Linked DNA regions of Stegostoma tigrinum. The main gene of each other region encodes a partner of the protein of the gene in region 2 in a complex. Links are inferred from orthologs where the notes say so. Each region holds a gene or a part of one and is shown on either strand. Other genes may lie near its edges.

Region 1 (3,751 bases), on a different chromosome or scaffold from region 2:
AAGCAGAAAAATCAGATTCACAGCTATGAGGAAGAAATTGCAACACCAAGAATATTTCCAGTGAAGCTCTGCCAGGCATACACTAAGAAAGGAATACGACTTCATTGGAAAAAAATACAATTGGCCTCAATATCCTTCAGGATTCTGAAATCCCTTTGCCCCAAGGATAGCTAATGATTGATAGCAATTGGTTTTATATAGGTAAAAGTATAGGGTTTGCAAATAAGCACTGGAAGATCAAAGTCAGAGTTGTAATCTGATTTTATTACTAAATAAAAGAGAGAGCTGTCCTCTCTAGCCCGTTAAATTACAAAGCCTAACAACACAAACGACGCTGAAACAGCTGCAAAGTAACAGAAACTGCAGTAGTCTCATTCTTATTATTTAATTCAGCACTGAAGAAAGTAACATTCTGGAAAACTAAGTCATGATCTGGAACGCATTGCAAAGCAGAGGAAACAGATTTAATTATGGCTTTCAGACTTGAAGGGCCAGATTTTGCAAGGCTTTCAAAGAGCCAGCACAAGCAAGATGGGCCAAAAGGTCCAAATGGACCTTCTTTTCAATAATCTAATTCAATGGCAAAGAATGGTTAACTTTGTTGAGGTATTCATCTTCTTTCAACATTAGCTCTGTCGAAAGCTGATGGTGCTCAAAGGGTAACCAGTCCACCGCAGATGCTACCTGAACTGTCAAGTGCAACCAGAAAGACGTTTTTAATTTGCTGTTTGACAACTAAGCCAGTCGGTTGCCGGGGCGCTAAAGCAGATTCCGGTGAGTTTTCGCCCTCTTTGAGGTGATCAACACGCGGAGCAGAATCTCCGACAACTTGATCTGAATAAACGGACAAATAAAAAAAGACGCAGATCGTGGCGCTAACAGCCACCAGGGGTCAAGAAAGTTGCATACCCGAAAGCTCTGACATGGAAAAGTATAACCGATCATATTGCCTACTTTCGTTGGGGATTTCCTCTCTGTCTGGGTCGGCACTGATCCCCGTGCTGTCGTCTGTCAAGATTAAAGGGACATCATCGTCGACAGGCAGCGTCACCGCCATCGTCCGGTATACCCCCACACCCCAAACTGTCGCCGCCGCCGAAGAACGACGCTGGGAGTGTGCGGGAGGCGGGAAGGACGAGCGAGCAGAGGGCGGGACCCTGATCCACACCTTGTCGGTGATTGGTCCAGGCCGACGGTCGGTCCGGCGGGCTCACTCGAGAGGAAACGTCAATCAAAAGCGCGGCGTCCAACAGGTTCGCGTGAAACCCGCCTCCTCCCACGTGGACGGCGCGGCCAGCGAGTCAGAGGGAAAAGGTCGTCCGTCTCTTAGCAACGGAGTAACCGTCGCTGGCAAACAGAAGGGCGGAGATAGGTGAGTGCGTCCGTTCGCGGCAGAGGAACCCTTTAACCCGAAAGCACCGGGGTCGGCGGTGGCGGGGGGGATCCCGTTAAAACGAGCTGACGAACGGTCTCTGTGCCTCAGGACGAGGTTGAATATTCTCAGGCAGAATATTTGAGAAATCAGAAAGTATCCGGAGCTCACTGCCCGACAGGTTTCTAGAGTCAGGAATCCTTAATACTTACTGGCCAAGTGATGGAAAATGGAATCCGAATAGATGGATGTTTGATGACTGACGCGGATAAGATGGACCGAAGAGCCCTTTTTGCGCTGTTAAAATCTCTATCACTACGATTCCTGTTAGGCAAGGGATCCAAATGTAATCCGAGTAAAAGGAACTGTAGAATTCAAAACATAAACAAATCAGATCATTATAGAACAGCGATAGGTTTGAAGGGCCCAATGGCTCCGAATTGGTATGTTTTTGAGCTGTTGTGAATTCCTGGAGAAGATTAGTAGCCACCCACAGTTTTCGTCCATCCTGTTAGAGAGCTAGGCCTTATGGTCTCGGGAATCAGTAAACTCCAAGGTATCCTCTTGATCCTTGGATCCTTATTGTCCCTTCAGTCTGTCATCTGAGGCAGCCCATATCAACGTAACACCAGGGCATTAATTATGACTTATCAAGTTGACTGCACTAGGTCTGAGAGACTTCTGACTCAGTTCCAGGTAGCCATCCACAGCATATATTCTTTTTTATAGTTAGTGATTGTAAAGTAACTTTTAAATTAATTCGTGAAATATGGACATCACTGGCTGGACCAGTATTTATTGCCTCTCTCTTGTTGATTTCAGGAAGGTGGTGGTGAACTGCTTTCTTGAACTGCTGCAACCCATGTGCTACAGCTAGAAAATTGAACATAATATATTGTTTTGATCTGAAAATCAACACTAAATACCTCGCTCAAGTATTAAAAACCCTTATCCTCCTGATTTTTTGATCATTTTTCAAATAGCAACTGTGATCATAATTCTTTGTGGAAATCAACTTATGGGTGTTTAATGTACTTCAGTGGGAGAATGTTTCTGTGAAATTAAGCATTTATGAAAAAAATATAATTTACATTTATATATGATAGTACATTTGACAAAGATATAAATAAACCTGCACATTACTGACAAGTGTCAACTTTACAAACTAAGTGGCAGCCTTATCACCCTAAACTCAGCAAATGAGGAGGTTAGTGCTTAGCTTTGGAATGTGTTTTTCAGGAAAGCAATCAGACAGATTTGACACTGAGCCACACAAGGAGATGCTGGGACAAATGGTATTAAGGATCTAATTAAAAGGAGGAAAGAGACAGGCAAGGAGGGAGGAAAGTCATGGCTAAAGGCAAAAGCACCATTTGTTGAGCGATGAATATCATGCCTGTGCAAGAGACCAGAACTATAGGAGTACAGAAATATTAAAGGGTTGTAAGGCTAAAGAATGCAATGCAGTAGTGATGGGATTGAACACAAGAATGAGAATTTTCACTTAAATAAAGGCAAAATTGCTGGGAATCTGAAGCAAATACAGAGAATGTCACATTTGCTGCCAGACGTGCTGAGTTTCTCCAGCATTCTCTGTGTTTGTTGTTGAACGAGACTTCAAATTGAAGCATTTCTGGTCCAGGAACCAATGTGCATGTGTGAGCACAGGAATGATACATGAACAGGACTTCGTGCAAGTTAGGACAAGGATGTTTTGAATGAACTCAAGTTTATGGAGGGTGTAAAGAGGAAAAACTGTTTAAACAAAAATCAGAAGTGTGTTACTATATATTCTAAACTATTTTAATAATGTGAACTGATATGATTTATTACAGTTCACTTTATTATAAACTACCTCTGTTTTTGAAGTATACTAATGTATCACTCCTACATATTAATATAAAATCTTAATAAATGCTATCAATATATGTTATCCACATCAACCTCATGCAGTGCATCCTCTGATTTTTTTTAACATAATTTTATAAAATTTATAGATCAAGTCTCTTCTGCCAATGTTGCAATTTAAATGCGGTATATTGGTAATACTCGTCTCAAAGTCAGAAATTGTGGGTTCAAGTCCCACTTGAGATTTAAGCATGTAATCTAAAATTGCCATCTAATATAGTACTGCATTGCATTGCCAAAGGTACTGTCTTTCATATACATTGCTGAACTGAGGTCTATCTACTCAGTCATGTTAACAAAGGAAAAACCCATGGCATTGATATGAAGAAGAACTGGGGTGGTTTAACTACCTAATGTTTACCACTTAACCAACATTGCTAATTTAAAATCCTGTTTATTGTTTATATTAATGATTAACCATAGAAGCATTTGAGGCACTAGGAGGGTCCAATAACTGAACTGACCCCAATT
Region 2 (3,751 bases):
CTATGGGAGGAAACCGGAACACCCAGAGGAAACCCACGCAGACATGGGGAGAATGTGCAAACTCCACACAGTCACCGGAGGGTGAAATCGAACCCTGGCCCCTGGTACTGCTTACCATTGTGTCACCCTTTACTATCACCTTCCTTCACTTTATTTATATGTCAGGACTTCACTTGACAAAAGAACAGCACTCCAAAAACTTGTCATTTCAAATATAACCTGGCGTCGTGTGACTCTTGACTTTGCCCATCCCAGTCCAACACTGGCACCTCCACATCATATTTTATTTATCAATATATGCTGGCCAATGATCACAAGAAACTATGTTTCATTTAAAATATCACCATAAAATAAAAAAGAACTGGAAGTATTACAAATCTGAGACACAATCTACCTTTAAACTTTAGAGCTCTATATCAGTAACTATTACAGGAACCCATATAATCCAATCAGTTATTAGTAGCATGATTATAAATTACTAATTCTGCAGTTATTCTTTTTGCAAATATCCCTACATGACATTTAATGCGATAAAAGTTCTGGATATTTGTTCTAGCCTTCAGGAGATTATTTTCCCGTAATAATGAAGGCTCCCAAACCTCTTCCCAAATTGAGATCCACAGTTTGCACTAGCCTTTTCCACTGGATTCCATCTCCCGAATTCGACTTCCAGACCCACCCACCCCGGGACCAGCCCCGCCTCCCCCAGGCCGAGCTCCGCCCCTCCCTCGGGACACGCCCCCCGCTAGCGTCATGCCCCGCCCATCTGGCCCATCGGCTCCCCCCCTCCCCCAAGACAACCGGTCCAGCCCCGCCGAGCGCACATCGAGTCTCGCGGCATTTGGTTGCCGTTTCCATGGTGCTGGTGGTAAATAGACGGTTCAGGAATAACTGCTCAGAGCAGCGGCATCGTCAAGATGGTGAGTGTCGTTATGGAGCAGAAACGTTCAAACAAGAACCACATAGGCTTATGCGGACAGATTCGCACCTTTCCCTCCCCCCAAACCCGCCTCATATCCCTCCCAAATGCCCCTCGTTTACTCCTCCTTTCCCTCCCAAATCCCCCTCGTCTACTCCTCCTGTCCCTCCCAAATCCCCCTCGTCTACTCCTCCTGTCCCTCTCAAATGCCCCTCGTCTACTCCTCCTGTCCCTCTCAAATGCCCCTCGTCTACTCCTCCTTTCCCTCCCAAATCCCCCTCGTCTACTCCTCCTTTCCCTCCCAAATCCCCCTCGTCTACTCCTCCTGTCCCTCCCAAATCCCCCTCGTCTACTCCTCCTGTCCCTCCCAAATCCCCCTCGTCTACTCCTCCTGTCCCTCCCAAATCCCCCTCGTCTACTCCTCCTTTCCCTCCCAAATCCCCCTCGTCTACTCCTTCTTTCCCTCCCAAATCGCCTTACCCTCCTGCCACCTCCCCACACTTTATCCACCTGCCTCCTACCTGCCTTTCTTTCCATTTCCCCTCTTATCACCTCCATCACCCTATGCCACTGGAGCCAGCACTCACCCAGACATAAAACGTCCATGTCCAACATGGCCCGTCAGACCCAAAACCCAGCGATCCAAGCCCACCACACCATTGCCTGTCCTGACCCATCTGGACTGCCCTACACACTCACCCATTTATGTGATATTCTAATCACATACTTAGCCTTTCACAATAGCCTTCTAAATGTCAGCTGGACATTTAAACTTCAGAATGGGTTTTGATGATCTTCTCTTGCTGCGCTTGAAGGATTCCTGGACAGGTTCATAGCAAGATACCCCTGCTCAGGAAGAACTATTTCCATTTAATCAAAAATGTACAGATTTTTGATTACACTGCAAAATTATCAGTGGCAGTATAAGACAAACCAATATCAGCGATAATAGGAACTGCAGATGCTGGAGAATCCGAGATAACAAAGTGTAGAGCTGGATGAACACAGCAGGCCAAGCAGCAAGTCAAACCAATCTTTTGTTAAAAGTATGAAAAGAAGCAAAAACTGCTCAGCCCCGTAACAGTATGGTCATGGCAAAGTGTATTCTTGGTTTTAGTGTTAACATTACCAACCTTACTAAGAGGCTTCATTACATTTCATTGTGTATTGCAAAAGGAATGTCATATTAACTAAGGTTTTCCATTAAACAGCCACCCAAAAAGAAGAAAGGGAAAGGAGGCAAGAAAGCAAAAACGCCAACGGTGATCGATGGCCTTTCTACAGAGGCAATGTCCAAGGAGCAGGCAAGTACATCTGTTTTGTGAAAGTGAAGACTATGTACAAATGATGTCTGTGGCAGATTGATCAATATGTTCCAAAAGTTGGTTGTTTGAGCTAGTCCAAGGATGTGACTGACCTTTGAATTTTATGTAATCAAGCAAAGAACCAGAGGAAAAATAGAATTGGAGGCGTGTGAGAAAACAGCAATAATTGAATAGCTCTTTTAGGACGAGCTAAGTAACTTGCTGTGTGATAGGATTCTGTATTTATAAAGTTTTCCATGTTTCAGGGGTTTCATTTGAAAAATTAATTATTCTTTATTGACCATACACAGTTGGAGGAACACATTGTTCGGCTGCGTGAAGAACTTGACAGAGAACGAGAAGAACGGAATTACTTTCAACTTGAACGAGACAAAATTCACACATTTTGGGAGATCACTAAGAGGCAACTGGAGGAGAGGAAGTCGGAGTTAAGAAACAAAGATCGAGAAATGGAGGATGCAGAGGAACGACACCAGGTCGAAATTAAAGTAAGGAGCCTAATTCAGTAATATAATTCCTGGTTCAATCTCCCAAACTTATTTCAGTACTCAGTTATATCATCATTGGTCTATATCTTAGGTCTATTTACCTGCCTTTGTTCCACTTCCAGTATGTTTTTCTGCATAGTAACTGTTTTTTCCATTTCCTGCTATTCCCCTTAGCCCTGCAATATTTTGAAAGGCTGTAAACTCTTGGGTTGTGCATTTCTTCTGCCAATCACCTTAAATTGGCATAATCTGATTTTCTTCCAATGGAACTGTTTCTCTGTATCTACTCTAAGTAAGCGCTTACGATTTTAAATGCCTCTACCAAATCCCTCTGTCTTTAAAATGATCAGTTCCAGCTTCTCCAAGCTGTCTAACTGAAGTTTGTCTTCCCTGAAATTATTCATGTCAATCCTTTCTACACCCACTCCAAAGCCTTCACATCCTTCCTAAAGTGTAATAACCAGACTTTGAAATAATGCTCCATTTGAAGCAGACTGAGTATTTTCAAAAAAATGTTCATTGTAATCTCCTTGTTCAATCTCAGTCTTAAATCTTGAAAATGCCAAGTTTACTACAATCTCTTCTTGAATAAGGAGTGGCATTTGTAATTTTCCATTTCAAAAGCACATTTTCTGAATCTAAGTATTATAGTAAAATGATGGCTAATACATGTGCAAGTTCCTCACTGCTACTTCTTATATGCTGGAGTGGACATTTACTTTATGTTTAGTCTAAGTTTCTCCATTACCATTTTGTTTACTTACATTCAATTGATGAAGTTTCTCCCCTTTATTTAGTTTATAGAAACCCTTACAATGTTAGTATTTTGTCCTCTTCCTTCCTTGTATCATTTTCACAAAGTACCGTACCCATTAAAAAAGACCTTTTCGTTATCGTCTGTTATAATCTTGCCAACATGTTTTCAGATGTTCAGATCCCCATTCTTTTTCTCTTGGTATAGTTTTATAGTTTCATATCAATAGACAATAGACAATAGGTGCTGGAGTAGGCCATTCGGC

The links. The genes of interacting proteins can lie anywhere in the genome.
Region 1: gas8 (region 2) and iqcd share a complex: the UniProt entries of both Homo sapiens proteins name them as parts of the nexin-dynein regulatory complex. The link is inferred for Stegostoma tigrinum from reciprocal best matches to the Homo sapiens genes DRC4 and DRC10.

What each region holds. Positions count from the first base shown.
Region 1 is NC_081379.1:29,976,225-29,979,975, reverse strand, and holds the start of iqcd (dynein regulatory complex protein 10), read left to right. Parts: upstream 1-1,290; 5' UTR 1,291-1,372; intron 1,373-3,751. Other genes in the region: tpcn1 (two pore channel protein 1), read right to left, coding at 955-1,057. UniProt on the Homo sapiens protein: Component of the nexin-dynein regulatory complex (N-DRC), a key regulator of ciliary/flagellar motility which maintains the alignment and integrity of the distal axoneme and regulates microtubule sliding in motile axonemes.
Region 2 is NC_081369.1:39,930,723-39,934,473, forward strand, and holds the start of gas8 (dynein regulatory complex subunit 4), read left to right. Parts: upstream 1-796; 5' UTR 797-917; coding exon 918-920; intron 921-2,130; coding exon 2,131-2,223; intron 2,224-2,534; coding exon 2,535-2,732; intron 2,733-3,751. UniProt on the Homo sapiens protein: Component of the nexin-dynein regulatory complex (N-DRC), a key regulator of ciliary/flagellar motility which maintains the alignment and integrity of the distal axoneme and regulates microtubule sliding in motile axonemes.